Linked DNA regions of Tamandua tetradactyla. The protein of the gene in region 1 interacts with the protein of each later gene in a pairwise test. Links are inferred from orthologs where the notes say so. Each region holds a gene or a part of one and is shown on either strand. Other genes may lie near its edges. The genes, in order: GSE1, TNIK, TRIP6 and C2H1orf94.

Region 1 (7,674 bases):
CTAGGCCGGGGAAACTGAAGCCCAGAGAGGCTAAGACACTTACTCACGGCTGCTCAGCTACCAAGAGCGAGGGGCAGGATTGGAGCCAGGTTCATCCTGTTGCAAAGCCCAGGCTCTTCTTCCTGCCTCTGCTCCTCTGGGAACTGCCCTTCTTCGGACTCCCGACCGGCCGGCTGGTTTATCCCAGGCCGCAGAGGAGAGGCTCGGGGTGTGCCACGGGGGCGACATGCTGCTGGTTTAAAATAAGAGGCGCTCCCAACAACGCCCCCAAAGGCAGCTTTAAGTCTAAATCAGATGTCAGGGGAAACCTGGACAGAGCATGTGGGCGTGGGGCCACAGATGGGACAAACACATGCACTTCACAGATGCAACTACCTGAGAACACATAACAAGGGGACCCCTCCCCACCCCAAAACGCATACATGTGCACACGTGGGAGGCGGGATCAGGAAATGTTCAAGAGTTGGAACAACCATTCCTGCACGGGACAGGGACAGGGACAGGGACACCCTCCCACCCACACGCCCCCCTGCAGACCCCTTGGCTACCAGGCATTTGATTAAAATGAGCCAGTTTCAATGTTCGGTGGAAATTAGGCCCCACAGCCCCGGAGGCCTAGGCAAAGATTGCAGCTTGCAGGCAGCCACTTCCCCAGACCCATGGGGCAGGCAGTTCCTGCTTCAGCCCTTGCAAATCGGGATCCAAAATTAACTGAGCCTCGTCTGGCTCCTCCTGGGCAGGCAGCGTGAAGACAGGCGCCTGCAAACAGGGAGAAGCCCAGGCCTCCCTCCCACGTCCTGCACAGCTGACTTGCAGAGAAGAAAGACTCTCTTCCCACTGGGGGAAAAGTCTGTTTAGGCCACTGTCCCCCGCATCCCCACACCCCCATGTCTGGAAATCCGTTTCTAGCTGCTGTTAAGCAAGCAGAGTGTCTCAAAGGAAAAGTGTGGACTTGCTGCTGGAAAACTCGGGAAAAGCTTAGCTTTGGGGGGAGTTAGAGCCGAGAGGCATATTCACCTCTGATGTGCTGCATACAGGGTAAATGTTGAGACCTGCCTCGCTGGACTAACTACTAATGTTATCAGGAGGACAACAGACATGCCAATGAACTTCCTCTCTTTGATAGATTCCGCAGCAAACACATTCAAGTTCAGCTCTGTGCCGACTGTTTGCAGCAGCGCCCTGTTCTCCCACAAGCCTGCTCCTGGCCCTCCAAGTCTTCTGACCTCAGCCAGGCCAAGGCACCCACCAAGAGCCAGCCTAGTGACCCAAGAGAGCACCTCTTGCTGAGACACACCACCCAGAGCCAATGCACACTCCTGCCCACAGGGAAATGGAAACTGGTCTCTCCCATCCCTGCACAGATTTCAGAAGAACAGTCTGAGGCAAGTCGGGATGCACTGCTTACCTTCGTCGCCGCTGCCACTGGGGAGCTCCAGCCTATGGATCCCTGGCGGCCAAGTCCATGGCCAGCACACACCAGGGTCCCGCACTCCACACAGGCACCAATGATGAGCTGTCGTCCGTCGTCCACCAGCAGGCTGTGGCTCGCTCGCAAGGTGTACAGGAACAGGGGCAGCCGGGCCACCCGCACGGCCCTCAACCCGAGACAGCGCTTCTTCTCCTGCTGGCAGAAGAAGCACACGAACGTGTCCACGTGGTACTGCCGCGACCAGGCACTGACAGCATGGTGGGCGCCTCGGGCCTCGTGCTGTAGCCACTGGCCCAGCAGGTCGTGGTAACAGAGTGCACATGTGGCCACCAGGCCGGTGGCATCCGCGGGCCTGGCGTGCGGGGCAGGCGGGTACACGGTGAGAAAGGGGAAGAAGGGCTCTTTCTCGCCCAGGCGGCTGGAGGGGTTCACGTTGAGCTGAAACTCCTTGCCGGGGCCCAGTTCAGCCCCACAGACGTAGCAGATGGACGCCGGGCCGCCCTGGACCGACGCGGGCGGCTCAGAGATGGCAGGGTCAGAGAAGGCCTGGTGGTACCTGCCCAGGAAGCCCTGCACGGAGGTGATGAGCTCCTCGTTCTGGCAGGCGCGGTACAGGGCCCACACGTCCTCCAGGATGCTGAAGCACTTGGGGCAGCTGCGGACCTCACAGTGCTTGTTGGGGGCGCGGGCGTTGGGGGGGCAGGGGAGGAGGCCCAGGAAGGGGAAGTGCATGGTGCTCCTGGCACTGCCATTGAGGACCCGGGAGGGCACTGCTCGGGCATCCTGGGTGCAGTCCTCCCCGCAAAGGTAGCAGGCCTCTCGCGGGGGCCTGGGGGGCAGGCCCTCTTCCTTTGGGGCTCGGGGGCCCTTGGAGGCCAGGCCGGGGGCGTGGCGGTTCAGGGGCACCACGTACAGCCGCTGCAGGACGGGGACATCGGCCAGCTCGAAGCTCTGCCACTGCTGCATGAGGGAGGCGAAGCAGCAGGCGCACACCAGGGTGCTGCCGCCCTGGCCGATGGGCTGCGCCCCGGGGGGCGGGCTGTGCAGCCACAGGAAGGGGAAGAAGGGGGCCTGGGCCAGCCTCTCCTGCTTCTGCACGTGGATCTGGTGCTGGGAGGCCGGGGACAGCAGAGACCCACAGATGTAGCAGCACAGGCCCTCCAGTGGTGGCCCAGGCCGGCTCTCCGGGGGAACCCAAGGGACACGGCCACCATTTTCCTTCTCTTGGGGGCCCCTGCGGTCCAGGAAAGGCTGCTCCTTGCGATCTTCTTCCTCGCTGGTGATGTTGATGTCGCTGTCCTCAGAGGAGAAGCAGCCTCCGCGTGTCTCCCCCAGAGGCCTGCTCTCTGGAGTCTTGGTGGCCCTGCCCGACGGAGCCCCTTTCCTGCCCTCTGCGGTGGGCACTTGCCCGGGAGGGCCTTGCCAAGTGTCCTGAATGCCCCTCAGGACGCTGGCCCGAGCCTCGGGGACCCACGGCCTCTCAGCCCCCTTCCGCCTGCGCCTGCCGCCGACCCTGGGCTCTGCGCCCACGTGGGCATTCGAGGGGACCCCCTCCTCCACGTGCCCGGGGGCGGCTGGCCTGACGCCCTGTCCCGGAGGGGGCCCTGGCACTGGCCTCCACTCCTGGTCGCGGTCCCCGCGGGTGCCGGACCCCGGGGTGGCCCGCGGCGGGGGCGCCCCGTCCTGGAGGGGACTGGCGGCGCCGCGCGCGGTCGGGTCGGGCTCGGAGAAGTGGTCGGTGTCCGACAGCTCGGACAGCTCGGAATCGCGCACCTCGTCGGCGGCCGCGCGGGACTCGGAGCGCTGGTGGTCGTCGTCGTCGCCCGCGGCGGCGCCCAGCGCGTAGGCGACGTTCCACTCGCGGGGGGCCCCGGCGCCCCCGCGGCGCCCGCCGGCGCCCGCGTCGCACTGGTGGGGCCGCTTGAGCCAGTACATGCGCTTGTCCACCGGCGTGCGGGCGCGCTCGAAGGCCGCCCACTGCTCGCCCAGGAAGCAGCGGCACACGGCGCACACCAGCACGCAGCCGTCGGCCGGGGACAGCTCGCGCGCGCCGGGCGCCGGCTCCTGCTGCTGCAGGAACGGGAAGAAGGGCTGCGCCGGGGCCCCCGCGCCCGCCGCCGCCGCCGTCGCCGCAGCCGCCGGCTGCTTCACCTGCAGCTTCAGCTCCTTGCCGCGCCCGATGCCGCCGCCGCAGATGAAGCAGGAGAGCGCGGAGCCCGGGCCGCCGCCGCCCGCCGCCCGCTCGCCCAGCGCGGCCATGAGCCGCTGCTTGCGGGAGACCGGCGCCGCCCGCCCGCTCATGGCCGCGCTCCCCGGCCGCCCGCGCCCCCGCAGGCCGCCCCGCCGCGCCCAGCTCCCACCATGTGTGCGCGCCGCAAAGTTTGGCGGCGGCCGCCCGGCGCCGGCCCGGGCGCACGGCCGCCCGCTGGGACGCCCCCCGGGCCCGCCGAGCCCCCGGCAGCGGCGGCGGCCCAGGCCGAGGCGGCGCCGCGGCGAGCGCGCCCGGAACGCAGCGGCGGCGGCGGCGGGCCCCGGGCGGCTGGAGCGGCAGCCGCATGTGCGAGCTCCGGCGCCTGCCAAAGCGTTGGGTCATTTAATTGGGGAGGAGGGAGGCGGGGCGGCGGGCGGGCGGGCGGGGAGGGGGAGGGGGAGGGCGGGAGGCCGGGCGCGCGGGCGGGCGGGAGGGCGGGCGGGGGAAGCCCTCCCTCCCCCTTCCCCCTCCCTCCCCCTTCCCCCTCCCTCCGCCCGCCTCCCCTCCTCCCGCGTCCCAAACTGCGCACAATAGCTCGCCGGCTCCTCTATCTATTTTGTGTCCAGCCCCGGAGCCGCGCACAATGATTCATGGCCCCAATTAGGGGCTCGCTCCAGCCCGCGCGGCCAAAGCCGTCTGAGGGGCCTCCTCGGGGACCCGAGGCAGCCCCGGGGCTGCCGGAGCTGGTCTTTAGCTAAAGGTCAAGCGGGACGCGGGCGGAACCAGGTAAGGACGCAGCGGCCCCTGGAGACCCAGCTGCCATCGATGAAGGGCAGGCCTCGGGAGGGGCCGCTGAAGGCGGACGGTTTGGTCGGGGGCTATCCCGGCCGGGGGACCTGGCCCTGTCCCCATTCTAGAGGGGACGTGCAGTGAGCACCTTTTACCAGGTGCTGGGCACCTTTCAGGGGCCACTGCTCTCATTTTGGAGGCAGAGAAGAGAACTGTCCCCATGATCCCTGTCCGTGGGGGCAGAATCCTTGGCCGGGCACGTGCCTTCCCACTGCTGGCCAGAGGGTACTGGGGTCACCGACAGAGGCGAAATGACCCTGTGTGTCTCTGGGCAAGCGACTCAATCTCTCTGGGACTCTTTCCTTCTCTTGTCAACAGGAGCTGCAGCTGAGATGAACTGTCCCCGTGTATTTCTTGCCTATGTATATAAATATGTCATATTTAGCAGACACATGGAGACTTGACTGGTGCTGCACACTGTTCGAGGGGTTTAACGCGCATGGTAGTTACTCCTTCTAATGACTGTGAGCCGCTGTCATCAGCCCCACTTTCCAGGTGGAAGAGATGAGGCACTGAAGGTTGTTACTTTCAGAAGGGTCAGAGCTGGGATTCAAACCCCGGGAGTGGGCTCCAGGGCTGGTCCCAGCCACCTGGCTGGGCCGCCTCTCCCCCGCTCTGCTGGGACAGAGACCTTCATGTCAGGGGGTGGGGGGGACCCAGCCAGGCAATTAGGCAATTCCAGCTTCTCTGGGCCTCACATTTCCCATCTGTGAAATGATGCCCCTTTCGGCCTCAGAATTCTAGGAGTTCTGATTTCTGAGCAGTGACAGCTGTCCCAACCTGCCAGCTGGAGCCCGGAAGGCGGTCTGGTGACAAAGGTGCCAGGTTGGCCCCTCCGTCCTCTGGGGCGATGACTTGTAAATAAAACTGGGCCTCCTCTTGGCAAGGAGACGGACCATGCATTAAAAATGAACGGACATTTTAAAAGGTCAGCTTATGTGTGAGACTAAAGCAAAAAATGTTTATTTGTTACAAAATTTATGTTTTAACTAGTGCATTTCCTAATATAACTCATGTAGATAGTTTGATTGAATGTCATAAGTACTTGGAATCTCAGGTAGGACATGAGATTTTGCTGGTTTGTCCAGAGTGATGCCCTAATGAATCCCAGAGTGATTCGATCAGTGAGTGAAAAAGTATTTGCAAAGCCGCCTTCAGGGAATGGTGAGAACGGGGAGAAATTCAACTTCCCCAAGTTGAATTCTTGATATTCTCACAAGCAGTGTGGACAACCAAAGCTATAGGCTGAGCCCCCAGTCTTGGGGTTTGTTCATATGAAACTTAACCCCACAAAGGATAGGTCAAGTCTACTTAAAATTTAGGCCTAAGAGTCACCCCCAAGAGAGCCTCTTTTGTTGCTCAGATGTGGCCTGTCTCTGCAGCAAACACTGCAAGCAGTCTCACCACCCTCCCCCTCTCTGCATGGGACATGACTCCCAGGGGTGTGGACCTTCCTGGCAACGTGGGACAGAGATCCTGGAATGAGCTAAGACTCAGCATCAAGGGATTGAGAAAAACCCTAGAATGAGCTGAGACTTAACATCAAGGGATTGAGAAAACCTTCTCGACCAAAAGGGGGAAGAGTGAAATGAGACTAAATGACAATGGCTGAGAGATTCCAAACAGCGTCAAGAGGTTATCCTGGAGGTTATTCTTGCACATTAAGTAGATATCACCGTGTTATCCAAGATGTAATGGAGAGGGTGGAGGGAACTGCCTGAAAATGTAGAGCTGTGTTCCAGTAGCCATGTTTCTTGAGGATGATTGAATAATGATATAGCTTTCACAATGTGACTGTGTGATTGTGAAAACCTTGTGTCTGATGCTCCTTTTATCTGCCTTGTCAACAGATGAGTAGAACATATGGAATAAAAATAAAATAGGGATAAATAAACGGACAGGAGGAAACGGCCACGTCTTTGGAGTCCCTGGTGGATATTCCAGGGGTCACAGTCCAGGGGTTAACGGGAACATTGTTGCCAAAATGCTGGCACTGCTGTCCCTCACCCAGGCCCGGGAAAACGCTGTGTCAGGAAAACTGTCCCAGAGACATGGGGGCAGGGCAGGAGGGCGGAGCCTGGCCCCTGGCTTTTTTAATACCTGGCGAGAGGAGGGGGCTCATTAGGAAGACTGTAAAGGGGCAAGTCTGTTTCATTGTGTCTCAGCACAGTTTGGGGGACTGTGTGGCCCCCCCACACACATGCACACCCCCGTGGACTGCTGGTGAAGCAGCGCCTGGGCTTAGCAGATCCAGGTGGGCCATCGAGGAGCACCTGGGCCCCTTAGGGCTTGGCACGTGTTGCCCTTTCCTCCTGCAATGCTTTTCGGGCTCCAGCAGCTTAGATGTCATCCCAGAGGGGCTCCCAGTGCCACCGCGCCCCCCCCCCACCCCCCGCAGGCCTCCCCCTCGTCCTTCTCCATCTCAGCCCCTGGCAGAGGAATTTGGTTTTATTTGTTTTTCTGTCTCTCGCTCCCTGTCTGGCTCACTCCTGCCTCTCCTCCCCCAGGGCAGAGCCAGGTCTGACCTGCTCACTGTGTGTCCGGGGCCTGCCCAGCGCCCCAACCTGTCCCACTCCTATCCTGTCCCTCCCAAGCCTTGGGCAGACCCTCAACCCCATGAGAAAGCCTCAGGTTTCTGCTCTGGTGGGGGGCAGTGACCCCCACCTCACAGACATTTTGCGCGGCTCCAGTGAGAGTGACTGAGGCGCTGGGCAGGGGGCCTGGCCCGGAGCGGGTGCCGCTGCCTGGCCGCACTCTGGGAGACGGTGGGCTATGCGGGGGTGGCACACGAGGTAGAGCAAGGAGAGCCCAAATGGAGGGATGTGGGGTCTCCTCAGCTAAACTGGAGAGCCAGGAAAACTTCCTGAGTGTGCCATACATGTGGGCATGTGTATATACATGTGTGTGTATAGGTATGTGCATGTGTGCATGTATAGGTATGTGTGTGCATGCACGTATATAATGTGTGCATGTGTAGGTATGTGTGTGTGCATGGGTGTATATACGTATACATGTATAGGTGTGTGCATGTGTGCAAAAGTGTATATACATGTGCATGTAAAGGTATGTGTATGTATATATGTGCACACATGGTTCGTGTGTGTGTGTGTGTGTAAAGCAGCCCAGGGTGGAAGTCCAGCTGGATATTACCACAAGGACCCAATGACTCAGGTATGTCCTCTCTCCCATGTGTCAGGAGCCC
Region 2 (7,584 bases), on another chromosome or scaffold:
TGGGAAAGCAAGGACTTGGTGTTCTCCAAGGTGTCTCAGTTTGCCAGGGCTGCTATGGCAAATACTCCACAATGGGTTGGTTAACTCGAGCAACGAGAATTTTCTGCTTCCTGGTTTTAGAGGCTGGAAGTCCCACAGGACGGCACTGACAGGGTTTGCTTTCTCCTGGAGTGTGCGGCAGGCTGGTAATCCTCCATCAATGCAGCTTTCTCTCTCTTCATGTCCTCCTCAGATTTCTGCTGACTCCTGGCTCTTCCTGACTGCCTGTGTTCAAATTTTCTCCGCTTATAATGACTCCAGTCATAAGGATTAAGGCCCACTCTGATTCCATTTGGCCTTGAAGTAGGATCTTCGGAGTTCCTATTCACACATGAGGAAACACCTTAACAAGCAGTAACATCTTCAAAGGTGCTATTTGCAAATGAGTTCACACCCAGAGGACTATGGGATTAACATGTCTTTTGTGGAGGGCATGATTCAATCTTTGTGGTAGGCTGAATTATGTACCCCAGAAAAAAAACATGTTCTTGATCCCATGCCTGTGGCAGTGAACCCATTGTAAATGGGACTTTTGAAGATGCTATTTTTAGTTGAGGTGTGTCCACCTGAATCAGGATGGGTCTTCATCCTGTTTCTGGGGGTCTTTAAAAGAGAAACCACAGAGAAGCGCCAGAATGGAGGAGCTAGAAGTCAGAAGATGAAACGCAGGCATCAGATGGACCTCAGAAGAGACACTGTCATGTGATGGGAAAGACAAGGCACCCCAAGATTGCCAACCTGCCAGAACAACTACCCATCCCACGAGGAAGCAAGCCTTCCAGTTTACAAAACCATGAGACAGTGAATTCCCATTACTAAGCCAACCCACTATGCATCTACGTCATAGCAACCAGGAAATTAAGACAATTTCCAACAAAAGGCTTTATCTTCACAGCTTAGAACTGTATCTTGCACAGAGTGAGCAATCTGTATATTTGCTGAATGAATCAGAGAATGAATTACTGCAGTTCATTGGTCACTCACCCAAATAAATGTGCCTAATCCTAGATCCATTGCCCCTAAGCTTGAAGCTGCCCCTGCTCTCACTCTAGTCCGGCCCCAGATGGTTTTTGATTGTGGCTCCATTGGTAATCCAGTCTTGCCTGTTTTATGTAACCTAAGAAATCCTCTGAGTTTCCGGACTACTGGGGCTGCATTTTTGTGTCTTCTAGAACTATAATGAATTTTTTAAAATATCCTTTTTTGTTATATCTAGGGATTTCTGTTATTATAGAAGATGCAGGGAATATGCTTTTAGAAGGTACACAAGCGGTATTTCAGATCCCCAGTGTGATTTTAGGTGGTGCATGATTTGACATTAAATAATACTGAACCTAAAAGCGAGAACATTACCCACTTAGGGATTTTCTTTCTTTTTTATAAATATTTAAAAATATATAAACATTTTTCAAATATACAGAAAGAAAAAGAACAATACCATGAAATCTGATCACCAACCATCCCGATTTAACAATTCCAAACAATTTATCATATTTGCTTGAGGTCTTTTTGCTTTTTTAAGACAAATTAAATATTGTTGAAGCATCCTTTGTGCCTTCCCATTTCTTTTTCCCTTCTCACTATGCTAAGGCTGAGCTGTCTCCTTTCTGCCTGTGTCCATGCTTTTCATAGTTTACAACAAATTTATATGGACATAAAATAGCATGTAGTATTTTTCTGCAGGCTTTCAAATTGTACATAAATGGTATAAATTCTCTCAATCTTCCAGACTACACCAAAGAGGAAAATTGTACTTTGGTTCACGTCTTGAATGCCTTTTCTGGCATTTACTAATCTCTCTTTTAACAAAGTGAAAGCAGGCCTCAGCCTAAAAGCCCGGGGCAAGCGATGATAGCTAGCTTCAATTTAATAATATTCATTTATTTTCCATTATGTTTATTTTAATTGTTCCTTTCTATTTTTTACCAAGTGTTGCTAGCTTTCCATGTACCATAGTGATTTATGTTTCCTTTTAAATTAATGTAAGAAAAAAAGTAAAGTATTGATTTAAAAAAAAGTTTAGCAATAATAACAGTACAGGTATACACAGACCTGACAATAAGTTACAAAGATTGTACTGGAGTAGCTGAAATTTCATACACACTTGACCTGGAGGATAAAGTTCAAGGTCCTCATTTGAGCATGCAAAGCTCTGCCTCATCTGACCTCTGCTTACCTCTCCAGTCTTTTTAACAGTCACCAGCCTTACTTTTCTTCTAGCAACACATCTGCTTAGAGTTTCTCCTCATCTTACCCTAACAGCTGGCGGTGCCTTCGCTATTGTGATCATCCCCCTTGTATGGTATTGTCTGCAGCCAGTATCCCCGCCTCCTCCTCCCCTCTCAGCTCCTCTCAGGCCCCTAGGACGCCCTCTACCTCACCACTGCACCGAAAGCAGAATTTCCTAACCAAATTCTGAATCCAAGGATAGAAATTTGATGCCCGTTATCATTGCACACTCATGGCCTGGACAGCGTACTAATGCCTAAAGAAGCGATCCGTTTGTGACATTTTGAATAAAATCTGGGTAACAAAATCAAGATGCTTTATGGAAAACAAACAAAGCAACCACATCTTTACCCCATTTTTTCCTGTGTTGGAGGTTTAAAAATAGTTCTATTTATAGATCTCAATGTCTGATCCTTATTTTCTTTCAACATGAGTCAATACATTAATTTTCTAGATGAAGGACAAAAAAAAGGGGACATAGGAGGGAAGAACAGGAAGATGAGAAATGAGCTTTTTCTTTTTACGTCATTTCGCAGAGCTTGGGGGCTTACTGCATGTTACTTACTGCACTGAACCGTGTGGTTGTGTTAGAAAATGAGAGGTCACAACAAGCGCTTTGAATATAACACGTTAATACGCTTGAAAATAATGTTTAAAGAGAAAGCTCCCAAACAAAACTGTTATGAGATTTTAGAGCAGCTTTCAAGTTTCATACTGAATGATCCACAATGTATAGGAATAAATACGATAATATTAACAAAAACAGTACAGCACACACCAATGTTGTTTAAAAGCCCCCTAATGTCTGGCAGTCAGGCTGAACTAACTGGTTTGGCTTCCATTCATTCAGTCAAGATCCTTACTCGGAGGAAGCTGAAATGCACACCACATGATTTCAAAGTCCTCAGTGCACTTGGCCAGAAGGAAATTCTCTTCCTATCAGAGGTGCAGAGAATATTTCCAAAGTTACTACTGTATTTGGGGAAAAAGTTCAGTTTAAAGCGTTTTCTTCTTAAATATCTAATGGAGCGTGGCCCAGGCCTGAGAGGAAGGGCTTGAGGGAAGTGATTTCACACCCTCGATTACAGAATGCCAGGATTACCACTGTAAACATTCGGCCTTGCAATGAGAAAGCGAGTGAAGGGCAATTGTTCTCACGCGTACATCTTGCCTGCTAACATTTTATCCTCCGGCCAAACTTTCTCCACTAGTTCGGATAGGTCAGCGGAGGAAACGCTGGCTGAAAAAGAAATGCAGAATCTTGGGGCAGCGTGCGCTGCCTCAGCCAGTGCTGCCTTTGGACAGTTACCTGGAGCACAGAAGCAACTACAACCTAAGCACAAGCTTCTCGGTTCAATTCGGTCGTTTCCGTGGGGGAACTGCGGCAGGGGCAGGTCACGGGTGTGGCGAGCCCAAGCCGGAGCTACGATCTCCCGGGTTTCCGGCTTCTGGCAAACGTCCCCTGCCCCGAAGCGGCGGGGGACAGGCCATCCCACATCCCGGAGACCGCCGGAGGCCCCGAGCCACAATCGCTGCAAACTGCCAAATGGGGCTGGGCGCACTGTATGCGCTCCTCTCCCTACTCGCTCGCAGGCTGGAGGCGGATCTCCTCTTCCTGCACACAAGTCCTTATATGAACCGGCTGCACCCACCGCGTAACTCCGGCCCCACAAATTCATGATGGGGGAGGGAGGCCGTTGCTCTTTCTGCCTCCGACTTTTGTCAACGCCAGAGCATCTTGAGACCCGCCGAGAAATCCCAGTGTGCGATGGCACGGGCCATTTTGCTGCAGCGCACGAATCGAACACAAGAAGAAAGCCTTGTCAATATGATAAGCACGTCAGGGTTCAGGATCAGCCTTTGGGATCCAGCCCGACGCGCCCGCGAGAGCCTGGGCGGAAGGGGTGCACCCCTCCCCCCTCGGTGCTGGTGCGGAGGACCGGTCAGGAAGCGCGACCTCGCCCCATTCCGAGACCACGCCTCCTCCGCGTCCTTCCCCCTCCTCCCCTTTACTCCTCCCAGGAAGCGGTGATCGACAGCTCGGTGTGGTTCTCCACCCCCACCCCCAAGCTGAGTGGAGGAGTTGATGTGTCTCATTATAACAGCCAATGCAGCCGCCATCCACGCACAAGCAAAGAAGCATGCCCCATTTAAATACACCCACGCAGCCCTAGCGCCCTTAGCCGATCGGGGCGCTCAGCCCACACGCACCGCGGCTCCGGGCTTGGAGATCGGCGCAGGTCGCTCCCGGACCCGGCGGACAGGCTCGCCGAGGATCGGGATCCGACGCTGTGGGGGGTCGGGGTGGGCGGGGGAGGCTGGGCCCGGGGACCTCTGGCGCGACCCGCTCATGAGGACGCGAGTGAAGTAGAACCGAGGTGGAATTTGCAAGGGAAAAGCTTTGAGGTGGTTTTGGTCCATTTTTCCGGAGAGGAAGTCGACATGGCGAGCGACTCCCCAGCTCGCAGCCTGGATGAAATTGATCTCTCGGCTCTGAGGGTGAGCAGAACGCGTTTTCCGATTTCTTTCCAGTGGTTTCGGGCTGGGTGAGTGGGCTCGGTGCGGGGGCTGGGGCTGACGGGCAGAGGCAGGGAATGGAACCGGCAGGGAACTTGGATTGTCGGTTGGGTCCGGAGACTGCTAAGGTGCTCCGGGATGAGTCGCGGTGGCAGGGACCGTGCGGTACGTGTCCTCCTTTGGCTGTGGCTCAGACTTCTGTGAGAGCGCGTGGACCTTATGCCAGTTTCATCTTAGACCAGTGTCAGAGCATTAAAATGAAAGACTTACTGGTGTGTGTGTGTGTGTGTGTGTGTGTGTGTGTGTGTGTGTGTGTGTGTGCACGCGCGCGCGTACACGCCCAGGGCAGCCGTCTTGTGCCAAGGCGCGAGACCCGACTATCCCTTTCTGCAAAAAGAATGATCAACGGCGTGAATAAAAGGCCCCTGCTCCTCGCGTTTTGCAGCTACCTGCAAGATGACATTGTGTGCATGACTGTCCCCACGAAGACGAACCTGCTGCCCTAAGGGGCCAGCGATTGCTAGGCTGGTCTTGCAGCTGGCCCCTGCCTCCCCTCCCCGTCTGCCTCCTGAGCCCCGGCACCCTTTCCGCGCTCCGGGAAATGTCATTCTGCCACTCACCTTTCTGTCTGCTTTTCACTCAGCCCCGCCCGTGCTTTCTGACTTTGTGGCTGTGACAATTTAGCTTGATGGCTGCACTCAAGCAGGTGAACGGCAGGTCTTTTTCTGCTACCACCCCCACCTCCCATCGCGCCGGAACTCCCGGGAATGTCTGTTTTCCTTGTGTCTGGGGCCAGTTCTTTGTAGCGCCCCCCCTACACCTTCCCCCCCACGGCCCCGGCCCCACTGGTTTGCCTTTCCCTCGGCGCGAATTGCCTGAGATGCCGTTCCATTGTATTGACTAAGACATCACTGGTACAGAATCCATTTTGCTGTTGTTTTGAGATAAGAAAACCAGGAATCCCAGTGCAGCCTCTACGCTTCCCCACCCCCCACTCCCAATCCCAGTACGGTCCTCAGGGGAAGGGGGCAGAGCTTTCTTGCCATTTTAATTAGATGCTGCCTGCCGAGAAAAGAGTGAGGAGAAGGATTGGGCACCGATTTATGGACGATGGCTTCCTCTTCTGAACCAAAAAAAAAAAGCCACTGCATGTACTTGGTGCATTGGAGGGTCAATGAGACCGAATGGATGAGGGGCTCTCAGCACAAACACGCAGGGTGGGTGACACACTGAAGTTCACACATGCCCTCGCAAGGAATATGCCGTTCAGACTGATGCTAAATCTTGGGCCGTTTACCTGACTCCGGAGTTCTGACTTTGCTTCGGTCTCCACGAATATTTTAAAGAGTTCCCACTCTGATCAAAGCGGTTTTATTTTTTTCTTTAGCCTCATTAATCCCACTCTCTCCAGCCCCCCCCCCCCTTTTTTTCTAACTTCCTTCTCCCACTCTAAATTCTTCAGTCCATGAGGTGAGGTTTCAGCAAGGCAGTCAAGGAATTGAGAGGGAACAGAGATGCCATTTGAAACTGGCTGTTCTAATAGTTGGGCAGCAAAAGCTCATTCATGTGCCATTACAGTAAGCTGTTTCTCTGGTGCTGAAATGCCACGTTCAGAACCCGCTGTCCCCTGGGCAGCTGCGGGGACTGGGGGCTGGGGAGTGGGGAGGGAAAGACGGAGGTTTCTTAACAGGGTGGGTGCTTTGGCCAAGTCTGTGGTTTCCTGCTTTAGGGGCTGTGTGTGTTCATTCGCCCTACTTTCTGCCCCAGGCATTGCTGTGGCCGCGGTTAATCAGGTGGATGGGTGGCCCAGACTTGGGGGCGGGGGAACAGTTCCTGGGGACAGGAGCTGAGCTACCGGCAAGGTTGGTGATGTTTAGGAGGCTGAATCTCAGACACCGCTCCTCTAATGCAAAGCACTCCGCTGTGATTTTAAGTTGGGCTGAGATGTGTCCTCCTGGGATTTTTCCTCGGGAAGATTTTCTGAGACACCCAAGCACAGAGCCTGGAGGCTACCAGCAGCGGGTTCACCCAGCCAGTGGGGTGTGCGGCTCACACTTGGGATACCTGCGCTTGTGAAATTTGCATTTTGCAAAGGTATTTTTCCAATAATACCTGTGTGTGTGAAATTTGTATTTTGCAAAGATATCTTTCCACGATTCATTGGTATGGCTCTTTGTGGCCTGCCTGCAGTGCCAGTTTAGTGCAAAACTGGAAAGGGGGAGGGCAGTAGCACCAGAGATTGAGAAGTGCTGGCTGGTGGTGAACTTCAATGGAGATGGGAGACAGTCACATCCCCGGGTGCTGGGGGCAACCCACAAGTCTCGTGGGGGCATACAAGCCAGGAGAGGGTTTAGAGGCCACACAGGTAATCTCCCCAAATCAGAGGGCAGATCGTCGCTGTCTTTCCAAATTAGGAGAGGTGGGCTCAGCTAAATGAATTTGTTCCCCAAGATCTCAGAAAGGCCTCTGTGCCAGAAACCTCCTGGGGAATGCCTGACCCCTGAAATGCAGCCAAGGTCAGTGGCTTCTGGGAGAATTTGCTGCAGCCTTACCAATCCCTTGCTGTTTCTGTGGCTCTCTAATGTACACAATCAATGCTCTTTTTGTAAACCCTAGGCTCAATGCATTAAAACCAGCTCATGTCTGGAGAAGGCTTTATCCTCATTTTGGGGGTTTATTGTTCTCAGCCAGTGATCCTAGAGCTGGACCCAGTCTAATTTTTCCCTAAATAGTAACAATGCATAATTTAAACCAGGGCAACCAGTGACAGCACTTATCATTTAAATTATGCAAGGTTTG
Region 3 (7,213 bases), on another chromosome or scaffold:
GACAGGGGTCTTAGGGAAAAGAGTGAGGCCAAAGAACAGGGCCAGGGATTAGAAACAGGACTGGTGCTGGGCAAACAGCAGAGGTGAGGGAGATGGGAAGAGCCGGGCATCCTGAGAGAAAGGGCAGGGCAGGGCCTGACCTATGGAAGTCTTCAATACAGTGGATCTGGCTGGTGGCATCCACAGTGAAGGGGATGCCATCAAGGCCACGGTGGCACACCACACAGGTGAAACAACCAGGGTGGTAGGCCTTCCCCATGGCCCGCAGGATCCGGTCCAGGATAGGCTGGGAACACGTGGAGCACTTCTCCAGGGTGGCCTGTGGGGAAGAGAGCAGGATGGTCAGGGGGCCCCGTGGCAGCTCTCCAGTCATTCTGTCAGCCCACCATCTATTTATCTAGCCCACTGCCAGTGATTCAGTGAACAATCATTGCAAAGGACCTGAGTTCAAGTCTCAGCACTGCAGGTTACTGGACAAGTCATTTCATGTCTCTGAGCTATATAAATGGGAAGCAATAGGAATACCTGCCTGGCAGGGGCATGGTGGGAATTTAAGGCAGCTCCTTAATTCATCTGCCTTGCTCTTGAAAGGAATGTTGTCCTTCCCCACCAGCAGCCCAGATCTTTAGCTATTACCTAACTCTTCCTTTCTTCTCCTGTCTCAGTCTCAATTCTCCCAGCTTTGAACCTGTTCCTTTTTTAGGCTTGGACAGCTAGTTCTTGCATTAGAGAGAAGCCCCCTGCCTCCTGCTGCCAATGCCAGCCTCCCAGCCACTCACCACGTAGCAGCTCTCACAATATGCCCTCCTCTCCACAGCATAGAAATGCTGGCCCCGGAGCTGGGCCCGACATGTGGAACAGACAAAGCAGCCCACGTGGAAGACTCGGTCGAGGGCCACCACCCCGGCCCCATCCCCGACCACATCTTCTCCACAGCCCCCACACCGGCCTAGGGTCAGAGAAGAAACAGGTCAGCCTGCACAGACCCAGGAAGACAGGCCCACCGTCCCTCTGACTCTCTAGTACCCCCTGCCCCTTCCCACCACCCTGCTCACCAAAGTACTCCCCGCTGGGTGGGTGGTTCATGTCGTGCACCAACTTCTTGGTCAGCCTCTCCAGCTCCTCCTCCGGAGGCTGGCTCAGGGGGACCTGGGAGGCAAGAATCGGGGTTTCAGTCCTACCTCTGGCAACTACTCCTGACAGTGACAGGTCAACCCAGAAAACCCATCTGAGAACAGTTCAGCCCTAGGTACAGGAGTGCTTCACAGAGCCAATGGCAGCCCTCTCCCTCCTGTTTCCCAGGCTGCCCACATCCCTCAGGGATCCAGAGCTCTGAGGCCCGGGCCCTCAGACTCTGATTTAAAACCAGGACACTAAACTCCACCCTGTACCCCGTACCATCAGCATCTAGTTGTCCATGAGGACGCAAAATCCCAGTGCCTCAGGCTTACCTGGGCCCCATATCCGCCTCCTCTTCCTCCTCCGACTGAACCAGAAACCCCAGCAGCCTCCTCTTTACCCCCTGGCTCCCGGTGGCTTCGATAGCCAGCCCCCCAGACTTCCCCTCGGCCTAGGAGAGGAATGTGGGGGCCAGGGAGAGGCCCAGCGGCCTGAGAGGCCCCCCGCCTCGGTGGCCCACAGCCCCTCACTGGCTGAGCCACCTTCACTTGCACAGGGAAGGCCGGGCCAGCTGGGGTGCTGGCAGTGGCGTAGGAGGCCGGAGTGGGACCCCCATAGGAGGATGCTGGGAGCTGCAGGGCTGGAACACCCCCTCTGTTCGGCTTCAGGGAACTGGAGCGGTAGGCAGGGGGCTGAGGGGACTCATAAGCCTGGGGGGAAACACAGACCACAATGACCAAGGCCCATTCCAGACCATGTGTTCATGGAACCATGTGTTTCCACGTGTTTGAGGCGGCCCTGCCCTTGAGTCACAGACAATTAGTAAGAGCTCCCGTTCCCACGCTTTTCAATATGGGTGTGTATGGGGTAGGAAGGGGAAGGGGACTGGATTTGGATTGAGAACCGAGGGAAAGGGACAGGTTGGGGAGGATGGGCAGGCTGGGGGCAGGAGGGGGCCGGACAGGGGTTCACCTGTTGGTCTGGTCGCCGTAAGACATGACCACGACCCCCATCCAGTTCAGCCAGCATGCAGGTCAGAGAATCTATCTCAGCGTCCAGACTTCCTGGGCGTAAGCCCCCCCTATCTGGGGGGAGTCCCTGGGGATGGAATAAAAGCAGAGAGAATGCAAATCACATCTCCTCTCCCATCTTGGGTCCGGCTCACACTCAGCTCCGAGGGCCCCACGCACCCTGCCCCCCAATCCCAGTTCTCACCTGTGAGCGCTGGGGCGCTCCATAGGACCCCACCCAGGCTGGCCCCGGATCCTCCGGTACCGCGGGGGCCTGGTAACACTGCTCAGATGGGAGGGGGCAAAAATTGACCCTGGGGTGGGGCTGGAGGGCTGGGATGAGGGGAAGAGAGACCAAAGGTGGGGATGAGGGAGGGGAGGAGGAGTACACCTGGGGTCCGAGTTGGCAGGGAGGGCTGCAGGGCGGGGAGAGAGGGGGACCCTGGCCGCCAGCCCCAGCCCGGCCTGGGGGAGGGGGCGGCAGGAAGCAGGCGCCGGCGGGAGGGAGGGCGCTGGGCCGCGGTGGTCCCGTCCCGCCGCACGCGCGGCGCAGGGCTGCCCTACCTGCTCCGGGGGCTGGCGGTGGCCCCGGGGAGCCTCGGGAGGACGCTCTCCCCTGAGGGGCTCGGACAGACTCCGGCTGCTTCGGGGGGAGCCAGGTGGGCCCCGACATGGCCTGGGATGGGGGAGGAGGCTCCAGCGAGTGGTCCCCTGACCGCGGAGGGTCCTCCAGCCGTGGCCTGCTCTGTCGTTCCACGCTTCGTTCGGGACTCCAGGAAAGAAACTTTTCTGGCTTTTTTTTTTTCCCTTCCTCCCCAATTTGGGGGACGGCCACGCCTCCGATGACGTCACCGCATTCCTGGGGGAGGGTCACGTGGCCCCCTAGGCCCCAAACTGCCGTCCCTCCCCGACTTGGCCCCCTTTTGCCGAGTGGGAAGGGCTCCACCCGCGTCCGCCCGGGACGGGATGGGGCCCGCGCCAGCCCCCAGCCCCCACGAACTCCCCACCCCAAACTAGCCTCCACGGCCCTCACCGCCCCTGGCTCCCACCCCCGACTCCGCACGTGGACCTCTGCAGGGACCGCTCGGCTCTCTGTCCCACTCCCCCCCGCCCCCGCAGATGTCCCCGTTCCCCGCCCCCTCCCCGACCCCACCAGGCAATGCTCAGCCAGCCGAGTTTTTGGGTCTTTTATTCACGTTCAGCAGAGTTAGAAAAATAAAACAGAACAAAAACATCACAACCTCAGGAGTCAGTGAGTCTGTCAGCCACGAAGGAGTAAACTGAGGTAGCCTAGAGTCACAAGAGGAGAACCAGCCCCTCCTGTCAAGGCACCGGTCCGAGGAGAGGACAGCGGCCCGTCCGTCCCCGGGCTCAGGGGGGTGGGCAGCGGTGCACGAGGGGGAGGGGGGCTTCCCGGTCCTGGTTCTGGCCGCCCGGAGCGTCTCCATCCGGCTCCAGGGCAGCGGGAGGAGGCGCCTGCCCTCGTCCCCCTTCCCCACTCGCCGAGGCGGCCGCCCCCTCGAGGAAAGGGCTGCCTGGGCCATCAGAGATCCGTGCAAGTGACGGGGGTGACGCCGTGGACCAGCAGCGTGGGGCCCAGGTCCCGGCTCAGCACCTCCAGCAGCGCCAGGTAGCGCGGGTAGCGGGCGGGGTCGGCTGGTGGCCGAGGCAGGTACAGGAAGGTGAGGGCGGTGGCGGGCCCCGCGTCCCAGTCCCCGCCCTCGGGCCCCCCGGGCCCCCCGGCTCCGCCGCGCCCCTGCTGGGCCCGAACCAGGGAGTTAGCGCTGCCCGCCAGGGCCTCGGCCTCCGCGTCCCCCCGCCCGCCGTTCACGAAGTCCCCCTCCTCCCCCTCGTCGGCCGCCTCCGGCTGCCCCGCCCCGGCGCCCTCGCCCCACACCACCTCCTGCACCTCGGCCCGGATCCTCAGCTGGCTCAGCAGCGCCCGGAGCCGCCCCTCGGCCGCCCCGGGGGCCTCCCGGGGCCCCAGGCACAGGAAGATCCGGAGCCGGGCGCTGTGCCACGCAGGCACCATGCCCAAGATGGTCGCCATCTGCAGCAGGAAGAGGCCGCAGACGTCCACGTAGCCGGGTCCACCCCGGGGCCGCAGCAGGTTGAGGGGCCACACGTCCACGTGGTGCGGCTGCGGGGGGCCGCCCGGGCGCCGGCCGAGCCGCTCCGGGGGCAGCGCCCCACAGGCCCGGGCCAGCACCACGTTCTTGTTCATCTTCAGGGCGTCCGCCACGGTGGCCACGTAGTCCTGGGGGCTGAGGGCCCGGGGGCTCCCCGGAGCCCGGGGCGGCGGGAACAGGGCGCTCAGGGCCGGGGCGCCACTCTCCCCGGCGGCGGCGTCGGCCGGCTCGGAGAAGGCCGGGTCGCTCAGGAAGTGGTCCTGCGGCGGCGCGTCGTCGTAGAAGCCCAGGACGAGCGTGTTGGGTTTCATGCCGCCTGCGGGCAGGGGGAGGCGGGGAGAAGGGCTCTGCATCAGCGGTGCGCGCTCACCGGATAGCACCTTCAAGCCAGTGGTTTGGCCTCTTAAGGCCTCATAATGCGCATCTGCATCTTGACTTCTAGTTCTTCCTCAGCATTTTCAGGCGCATTTGTTTGATCAACACTACTGATCGCTGCTTAAATAGACAAAGTCTGCCTTAGGATTCTTTTAACTAAGGAGCAGTCCTGGTCGGAAGCAAGGACCCGGCTGCCATTCACTCCAAGCTTTGAAGCAGCACATCTTTTTGCCAGCGGGAGATGAGAAGCAGACCCCACTGGGCAGAACAAACACCCCAATTGATTAGTCAAGCTCACAGCCTCAGTGGCCAGGAAACTCAGCTCCAGACCCTGCCTCAAGGGGAAGAGAACGTGGAGCTGTGCGGCCTGTTTCCCCTCTAGCACCGCCCCAAGGATAGTTCCCCACAATCCTGGGAGAAGACAGAGCTAACATCTCCATGCTTACCAGGGCCCAGGGCCTGCTGGAAGCCCTTCATATTTTAACTTTTTAATACTTGGAACAATCTCCGGGGTGGGGACTCCGTGCTCCCCCTTTTACAGACAACGAAAATGAGCACAGAGCCGTGAAATCACCAGCCCAAAGTCTCAAGGCCAGTAAGTGGCCGGGCCAGTGTGAGAACACAGGCTGCCAGGCACCACAGCCGAGTATTTGGCACCCCTAAGCTGATGTGTGCACAAACCACAGCGTCCCTGCTGAGGGCTTGAGTTTTAACTTTTGAACAGCAGTGGGGAATCAGGCAATTCTCCCCCTTAGAAAGGGCTGAATTTGCAAGAAAATTCTGAGACCTCTCCTAAGTCCCTTTCTTGGAAAGGAACTGGGTTGCTAAAAATTTACCACTAAGTCAAATTCTATGTGCCGGGAGAATTTCCTAATTAGAAGAGATCCCTTCCCTTTTACTTAAATCAAGATGCACTTTGTGAAAGCAGGGGTCTCTGCACAGGTATCCTCACAAAGGGCAGCTCTCAGGAGGTATGAACTAAAGCCGATCTTGCAAGTTCAACCAGACATACCCCCTCCTGAGCATTTTCTAGGGTTCTGACTGGTACCAAATAGGGCCATGTCCAACACTGATGAACCTGAGCCAGGTTCTAAATGGGGGAGGTGGGTTGCCCTCATAGGAGACAGACACCAGCCCAGGGATGAAGGGCAGAGAAGGCAGCTGAGCATGGATCTGGCAGGACGTGTGGTACAAGGCCAGAAGCCACAGCTCCAAGATACATTTGCAAAGCTGGGAACCTTCCCCCCATCCCAGAGCATCAACCCCACGTGCCCCCAGCGTGCTTTGTGGTCTCTGGACTGCACTGCACCATGCCTGCCTTCACCCCCTAAGGCCCGGCTCAGATGCCGTCCCTTCACACTCTTTACTGGCCACCTCCGTGCATGGTAGTCTTCCTTTTTCTCAACTCTGGTGGTGAGAAACCATCTGCGCTACTTCAGATGGGGCAGCTCCAGACTCAAATCATTCTTCCACTGTCCCCAGATAACCTACTTAATCAGAGCTTGTGCCCCGTTTTTTTTTTTTTTTTGGCTCAGGGGTTAAAAAAAAAAAAAAAAGCAGTATCACCCCATTTTTAGTCCTTTGCATCTCTGAGGAAACCTTATCATCCACTGTCTGAGGCTGTTATCTTTGAGCACTGCCTCTTAGCTGTACTAGATCATGATTTCCTTTTGGGGTTTGCAGTTTATGGTTTACTCTCTGGGGCGGGAGCTGAGATTTAAAGGGTGGGGCAGGGAGGAGAGGCTCACCAAGGCCTGAGATTCGCAGCAGATGCTGTGCCCCCTGGCGCACGGAGGGCGAGAGGGTGAGGTCCACAAAGGCTTTCACTTGGGCCCGGTCCACCAGACTCAGCCACGCCCCGTACTGCGGCTGCACGGGGTCCGAGGGCAGAGAGTCTGCAGGGAAAGGGAGGTGGCCAGTGTCGGACAAACTCATTTACTTTCTCGTAGAGACCAAACCCTTAATGGGCAGAGGGAAAAAGCCTGGGTGGCTGGTCAGCTGGGTCATGTGGGAAGAAGGACAAGGCGCTTGGGACACACAGAATGCCTGAGACCAAGCAGAAAGGAAGGGTGGGGATGTGGGCAGCTCACCCAGGTCCCCCAGGGTGACGTGGCCCAGCACGTAGAGGCCGCCCTTCTTAAGCTGGTTGGCCAACCGCAGCAGAGGTAGGGCCCCCCGGGGGTTCCCCACCAGGAGCAGCAGCTGGGGTCGCCAGAACTTCACGTGATCCTTCCGGACGTCCAGCCGGAGCAGGTACTTGCGAACCTGGGGACAGGGAGGAGGGGGTGGGAGGGAGGGCCGGAAGGGGCAGTCCCCACGCTGTGCCACAGGAATGCGAACCCCAACCCCCGAGGGAGGAGGCTGGCTTTCACAGACTGCCTCCCTCCCACTCTCCTCCAGGCTCCTCCAACCTGGTGGAAGAGCAGGGCCTGGCTGACGTAGCCCCAGCTGCTGGGGCCTCCTCGGGCTGTGAGCAGGGCAGCAAGCAGACCCATGAGAAGCAGGGAGCCGCCGGCGGCCCCGGGACTGATGAGAAACATCATGAGCAGGCAGGAGGCCACCCCCAGCAGGCAGGTGTGC
Region 4 (7,010 bases), on another chromosome or scaffold:
AGAACAGCTGGGTTGAAGTGGGGACTGGAACCCAGCAACCAGTCCACTTGACTCTTGGGTGGCCCCTGCAACACCTTAGGGTCTGTGGAGCATGGGTTTAGAACTCCAGGTAGAAGTCAACAATAACAACAGCAACAAAAATGCCCAAACCCAAGAATTATATTTTAAGGACAGCCTACATTAGTATAATGCATCTCTGTTTTCCTGTCTTCCATCATATTTGATCCTCATTATCAACTCTGAGGTGGACAAGGCAGGACACATCATCCTCAATTTGCAGATGAGAAAATCCAGGCCAAATGAAATTAAGCAACTGGTCAAAGGTGTGCCAGTTCAATTTTTGGCCAAGTACAGACTGGAAGAGAGTCTGTCTCTATTCACTCAGTGGGACCTGGCAGGGAGTGTGCCGCCTACTGGAAATTGCTACTGACCCTTGGTCCACAAAGTGGACAATTGGATGCCTGGCCAATGGGACCTGAGCACAGTCCCTTGGGTCCCTGTGCCAAGGCCCTGTCTCTGAGCAGATGGCAATGGGTAGGGGAGAGAGGCTTATTGCCACTGGAGGGCCTGACAGCACGACTGTGGCTTTAGACAGGCCACTCCCATCCAAGCCTTATCCTGCTCAGCATAGGGCAGGGGAGGCATTCGCAGCCAAAGTGCCTTCCACCCTGGTCTGCAGCCAGTTGGTAAGTGCAGCATTCAGTGCAGACCTGTGTAGCAGCTATAGTTTGCTTTTCTCCTTAGCTCTTGCTTGGAGATCCCTGAATCTGGAGGCAGCTGATAATTGCCTGCATGGTTCCCCCACTCCAGAGCATCTCTGAACTGAGCTGGAGCATGTGTTGGCATAGACAACACTTAATTATCGCTTAGTCTTTAATTAGCACTTAACTGTTAACACTTAATCCATCTGTAAAATGGGGACACTAATACCTGCCTCATCGGGACTCCAGGAGGATTAATTAATGTTTGCGGTCCACTTTGAAGTTGTAAAGCACTGAAGAAGTGCTCAACAGTGGCATTAACAGCCACACTGAATTTATTTTCTTTTTCTTAATGAGGTCTCTTCCTTTTCGCTGCTTCTTTCTCTCCTTGCAAATATCTATTCCCAACAATATCTGTCCAATTTTGCCCTGGTAAAGAAACATTTAGCTCTGTGTATCCCAGACACAGGATTTCCCATCCTGGAAACGGGCTATTTACAGCCTTCTTCCCACACTTTAATTTTCTATTATGTCCTCTGAATATGTCAATGCCTTCCCAGTAAATATTTTGATGTGAGCTTTTGCAGCAGCTTCTGTGAAGGCTGAATGGGACAGCTGCTTCCTGTATTAGGGAATTCCAGATGTGGTTTAAAACCACCAGGCTTATCTTGTGTGAATGCCCAACCTTTGGGGGGGGGGGGGTCAGAAGAAGGATCTTCTGTCAGATTCCGGGGAAAGCCAAGGGTCTCCGGGGCCCACAAGCTTCAAAAGAGATATCTACATGCTCCTCAGCCTTGGCTAGGGCGTTTTCTGAGGAACCTCAACCCCAAATCTGGTTTGGCTATGCCTTGAAGATGAAATATGTCCCCTTACTGGGCTGGTGAAGAAGCAGCCTGGAATACAGCCCTGGTCTGGCCCTTCATCCAGTAACGTCAAGACCTAAGACAGCTCTTCCAGAAAGGCTGAACAAAAGACCATGGGGAAGGGTAGAGGAAAAGTATATAGTCTTTAGGGTTTAATCAGACTGAATATTGGGCAAGAGCATTTCCCCGGAAAGTCAGAACTCATCTCCTCCCTCCTCCCTTATGCCAACCAAGCAGGGGTACACTCACTCTTCTTGGAAGCTGAGCCTGTTATCTCGTGGAGTCCCAGCCATGGGGGCAGAGGGCTGCTCCGTTGAGGTCCTGGGCTGCAAGGCCTCCTGCAGACCCTGAACCCTCTTCCAGATTTCATGGCAAGTCTTGTCTAGGCTGTCTTGGGGTGTGTCCTGGTGGATCCAGATGTATCTGGGGAATGGGCCCAGGGCGGAGGGGCGCTTGGCCATCAGGGCCGAGGATGAAGGGAATCCATTCCCACTGGCCATTCTCGTCCTTTCCTTCCGGAAGCCCCTTTGTCTGCCCAGGGCTCGCAGACAGAGGGACCATCCGCCACCACCCTTCATTCACCAGAAAGGGAGATAAGGATGGGCACTGGCAGAGGCAGGTCAGTTCTGGCTGGCCGTTGCTTGGACGAGGTGACTATGTTCTGAGGCCCCTGATTTGTCTGTGAGTGGTGGGTAGAGGACGGCTTTCTTTTGGGGAGGGGGAGCTTAGTTTGATTTGTTTGTATCTGCTCTTCCCTGACTTTTGTCCCCCTCCCCCTCTCCCTTAGAAGAAAATATTTAAAAGTCAACAAAAACCAGTAGCTTAGTAACCGTGGAATCCCCCGGAGCTCAGGAACCAGGCGCTTGGGCGGGCAGAAGGACATCTGGGAACGGCTGGAGGGGGAGGGCTGGCTCTCCCCAGAATCCCAGGCGCTCCACCCTTGCGACACACCCCTGACACCTGGCGGCGCCTGGGGCTCAGCCCATCCTCTCCTACTAAGCCACGGGGAGGGGGGGAGTGGTGAGGCGCCTGGCTCCGGGCTAGGCCCGGTGGGGGCAGGAGCCCGCCTTTAGAATCTCAGCTCCGGCCTTCCCAGGCCGAGGGCCAACGGCCCCTGACCCCCTCTCCCCACCGAGTGCCCGCCTTTGCTCGCCCCCCACCCCCTTCTGTCGCCTTCTCCAGAGGCTGCTCTGCCGCCCCGGGGCAAGAAAACTTGAGTCAGTCAATCCGGGCGGCCCGCAAGCCGCCCCCGGCAGCCCCAGCAGACGCCGGTCGCGCCCCCCGCGCCAGGAGGCCGGGCTGGGCCCCCGGAAGGGTCCCGACGCTTTAAAGGGGCGCTGTCGGGCAGGGCGGGCAGGGCGGGGCGGCTTTGGCCTATCTGCGTGCCAGCGGCCCTCACACCCTTCCCGTCCAGCGCTGCAACTCCTTCTGTGGCTTTCAAACGCAACGGCTCGGGGCGCGGGCCGCGGGGGTTCGGCGTCCGAGGCCCTCAGGCCGCCGCGGTGGGGGCGGGGGCGCCCCGAGGGTCCCGGGCACTTTCCCTTCTTAGAAATCCAAGAAAGCGGGGCAGCCTCTCACCCTGCTACTCCTCTCCCCGCTGCTCCGCAGGAACCTCGGCGCCAGCCAGCGGGCCGTGCTCCTCCACATCGCCCGATTATAACCCTAAGTGCCATTTTATGGGCACTTCCTGTGTGCCGAGCGCTGAGCTCTCCGTGTCATCATACACAATCTCTGCAAACTCACGCAGTTAATACCGTGTCTTTATTATCGTTCCCCATATGCAGAAACAGTCTCACGGTCATAAACGGATGAGTTGAAGGCCCACAGCGAAAACGGGCGCTGGGATTCAAACCCAGGCACTCGAGGCCTGCGCCCGCGCTCTGATCCCCGGGAGAGCCTCTTCCTTCCCGCGCTGGGCTTCCACGCGTCCTGGGAATGGGCGGCGGTGGGGGGTGCGGAGGTGCAGAGAGAAGGGCCAAGTGTGCAGTTTGCTAGTCAGGTAGCTTCTGCTCTCATTGAAACTGTTTTATTACATTCGGAAATGACCCAAGACTTCTGCCCCAGGCCCTCCAGCCCCAGGAGTTAGTGGTTGTTCCTCGGGTTGTTTCCTCTGAGAAGGAAGAGTAAGAAGGCAGAGAAAGAAGAAAATGGAATGGATACAAATAAACGAGAAGGCAGCCTATAGACATGGAGCTGGACTGACTCCTGGCACTGCCACTTCCAAGGTGTGGGACCTGGATCGACTTGCTTAACTTCTCCCATCTTATGTACTCATTCATTCACTAAATATTGATTAGCCCTTCCTCTGGCCCTTGCTGGGCACTGAGGAAACACGAAAATGAACAAAAGAGCTCACCTGATCCTGTATTCCAGGGAAGGATGATAGATCACACAGACTTGGCAAAGCAAAAAATAAACAATATTTATGGATCAATAGGGCTGGGACGGAAAAGAACAAAGTGAGGCAATGGGGAGTAGGTGGGTCCCCATAAGACGATGGTCCAGTAGACTTCTTTGAGGACATAACTTTTGAGATGGCAGGAAGGATGAGAGAGAGTTTTTCCTGTAAAATGGTGACAGTAAACCATAATAAATTATATGAGACTCAAATTTCCAGCACATAGTGGGCACTTAGTAAATATGTGTTGAGTGAATTAATGGTATACTATATGTTAAGTGTCTGGCATATAGTAGGTGCCCAATACACTACCTTGCTCTTTACAGAGAGGCTGAGTTCCTGGAAATGTTGACTCAATTTTGAAATCCGAGCTTCATCCCTCTTTGATTTTCATTATAAAATTGAAAACGTGTTCCTTTGGGGAAAATTCCAAGGACCTAGACTGAATAAAATTATAGTTAAGAATGTAGAAAACCTTTTAAGATAGTGTATTTAAAGGCAAAGTGATAATTTCTGATGAAATATTAATAGTTCTGAAAATGTCACTCAGTGTTTGTGCTACTTGGCATTTGGTTGGCTAACACCTATGCTTAGAGCAGAACACCAGCTACCCTGCACTACCCAGGCCATGGGATCCTGGAAAGTTAGCCAGCTCACTTACTCCTTCTGCCCTCTCTCCCCTTTAGCAGGAGACACGGGACAGGGAACAATGATAAGGATGTTTCTTGGAGCACACAACTGAGGCTTCCAGAAGATGCTGCAGACCTTAACTGATACACTTAGAGATAATATAAACTGTGTGCTATACAGTAACCCCTGGTCACATGTGGCTATTTGGGTTTAATTAATTCAATGTACATAAAATTAGATATTCAGCTTCTCAGTTGTACTAGCCACGGTTCAAGTGCCCAACAGCCACATGTGGTTAGTTTTAGAATACTAGCACAGGAGACATTTCCGTGATCATATAGGCTCTAGGACAGACTGCCTGGGTTCAAATTCTGAGTTCTAGCAGCGTAAACTCAGGCAAGTTACTTAACCTCTCTGTGCTTCAGTTGCCACATCTGTAAAATGAGAATGATAAAGAACACCTGCTTTGTAGAATTGTTATAAATGTTCTATTACTAAATAATTGCTTACCACATGGCTAGTTCCTAGAACAACACCTGGCAAATAAGAAGCATATAAACATGCTGTGTATTAGTTTTCTCTGATTATATTGGACTGTGTGTCTCTGGAGTTCCTGAATAACAAGACTTTGTGCCATGCAAAAAGGAGAATATTCGCTGTATTTTCAGTTGTACAGGAAATTGCTCTGTGGCAGAGAAATGGACACCAGGCCTCATTTAAGCTGGCCTTCATGGTCTCCAGAAGGGAAACCCACAGAGTCACAGTTTTTCTTCTTGAAGACATATCTTTTAAAAAACCAGACTCTGCAGCCCAGTCTGGTTGCTGGGACATACAGGGGAGGCCCATTCCCAGGAAACATGTTTGCAACCTCCTCTTGCTTCAGTTCTGATGGTCTGTCTCTGAAGAAATCTGGCTAGGACCTACCTCTGCATGGTTGTTTGACCCAGTAAGCATACTAGACAGGGTAACTGGGGTCTCCCCCATTTTTAGGGATCTACAAAAAGTAGGTTTTTGAGCACCTACCATGGGCCAAGACTGTGTGAGACACAGGAGTTAGGGTGAATGAGACCTCTGCTCTAAACAAAGTCACAGTCTAACAAAGGAGGTACAAGCATTCTATAAGTGCCCTGGAGTACAGCACGGGTTTGATAAATGCTATTCCAGTCTCTGTTCAACACAGATGTATGTGCCCGGTACTGTTTGGGGTGCTGAAGATAGATAGTGAAGAAGACTGGCTTGGTCCCTTCCTTCTTAGAGCTTGAAATGACTCATTAGATGTTAACAGACAGCCTTTCATCTCTGAATTATTTTTAGCTTGGAAAGATTCTTAATTTACTCCTCACTAACCATATTACCCAGAGCAGGTTGTTTAACCTTTCTAGGATTATTTGCTCATTTATGAGCCAGAGATAATAAAAATACTGACCTCACAGAGTTGTTCATGATAATTGATAATACATGTAAAGTATTTAGACTAGTTAGCTTGGCACATGCTAGGTACCCAACGAATGTCAGCTATGATTATTTAGGGTTCTGGAATTCTTACTTTCCTATTTGGCTCTAGGAATGCCTCCGAAGAAGGCAATCCTTTTCACATATCTTTCAGCCAAAGCCTGCACTCACCTAGCTTCCACCTCCAACACAAAGCTGCTGGGTTGGAGAATCCAGAAAGGTGAGCACACAGCCTGGGCTCTTTTAAGGTATTTGTGGGCTTAAGTCTGCTTACTCTTACAGGCTCCAATCTGCATCTAATATGTTTCAAACACATCCACCTCGCCTCCAAAATACAACGTTTTGGCTGTAAAGAAAATTGAGAGGGTTTTTCCATTTTGCGTTTGAAAATTTGGGGCCATGAGTAATATATTTCATGTACGATTGGCTATGATTTCTCACCAGTCTCAGTGCCTACTCAGGATATCTTGCACAGTGAGAAAAATCCAAACTACAAACTCTTATCAAATGTAATGAAATTTTTATGACTGAATTCAACAGTTAATGAACTTAACATAATGTTACATTTTGCACTTAATTATTTAATGATTTAAATGTTGCAGGTTTTCCTCTTTGTATTTTGAAGCTAATAATGACATTTTCAGGCCTAAAACTTTTTTGTAGGTCCCTAAAAATGGGAGAGACCCCAGTTACCCTGTCTAGTATGCTTACTGGGTCAAACAGCTCAGGAGCGGGGCCCATGCAGAGGTAGGTCCTAGCCAGATTTCTTCAGAGACAGACCATCAGAACTGAAGGAAGAGGAGGTTGCAAACATGTTTCTTGGGAATGGGCCTCCCCTGCATGTCCCAGCAACCAGACTGGGCTGCAGAGTCTGGTTTTTTAAAAGATATGTCTTCAAGAAGAAAAACTGTGACTCTGTGGGTTCCCCTTCTGGTGACCATGAGCAATCCCTGCCATTTTCTAGGG

Evidence for each region.
Region 2: the proteins of GSE1 (region 1) and TNIK interact in a two-hybrid assay, tested with the Homo sapiens proteins (2 studies listed by BioGRID and IntAct). The link is inferred for Tamandua tetradactyla from reciprocal best matches to the Homo sapiens genes GSE1 and TNIK.
Region 3: the proteins of GSE1 (region 1) and TRIP6 interact in binary tests that used the Homo sapiens proteins (3 or more experiments, as listed by UniProt). The link is inferred for Tamandua tetradactyla from reciprocal best matches to the Homo sapiens genes GSE1 and TRIP6.
Region 4: the proteins of GSE1 (region 1) and C2H1orf94 interact in binary tests that used the Homo sapiens proteins (3 or more experiments, as listed by UniProt). The link is inferred for Tamandua tetradactyla from reciprocal best matches to the Homo sapiens genes GSE1 and C1orf94.

Annotation. Positions count from the first base shown.
Region 1 is NC_135342.1:79,795,944-79,803,617, reverse strand, and holds the start of GSE1 (genetic suppressor element 1), read right to left. Parts: upstream 3,019-7,674; 5' UTR 2,399-3,018; coding exon 1,409-2,398; intron 1-1,408.
Region 2 is NC_135331.1:68,895,016-68,902,599, reverse strand, and holds the start of TNIK (TRAF2 and NCK-interacting protein kinase), read left to right. Parts: upstream 1-4,578; 5' UTR 4,579-4,710; coding exon 4,711-4,767; intron 4,768-7,584. UniProt on the Homo sapiens protein: Serine/threonine kinase that acts as an essential activator of the Wnt signaling pathway. Recruited to promoters of Wnt target genes and required to activate their expression. May act by phosphorylating TCF4/TCF7L2.
Region 3 is NC_135349.1:8,877,336-8,884,548, reverse strand, and holds the start of TRIP6 (thyroid receptor-interacting protein 6), read right to left. Parts: upstream 3,013-7,213; 5' UTR 2,803-3,012; coding exon 2,694-2,802; intron 2,463-2,693; coding exon 2,335-2,462; intron 2,218-2,334; coding exon 2,092-2,217; intron 1,830-2,091; coding exon 1,452-1,829; intron 1,150-1,451; coding exon 1,056-1,149; intron 950-1,055; coding exon 780-949; intron 320-779; coding exon 141-319; intron 1-140. Other genes in the region: SLC12A9 (solute carrier family 12 member 9), read right to left, coding at 3,673-4,574, 6,382-6,528, 6,724-6,898, 7,045-7,213. UniProt on the Homo sapiens protein: Relays signals from the cell surface to the nucleus to weaken adherens junction and promote actin cytoskeleton reorganization and cell invasiveness. Involved in lysophosphatidic acid-induced cell adhesion and migration.
Region 4 is NC_135328.1:191,532,361-191,539,370, forward strand, and holds the start of C2H1orf94 (uncharacterized protein C1orf94 homolog), read right to left. Parts: upstream 3,002-7,010; 5' UTR 2,143-3,001; coding exon 1,814-2,142; intron 1-1,813.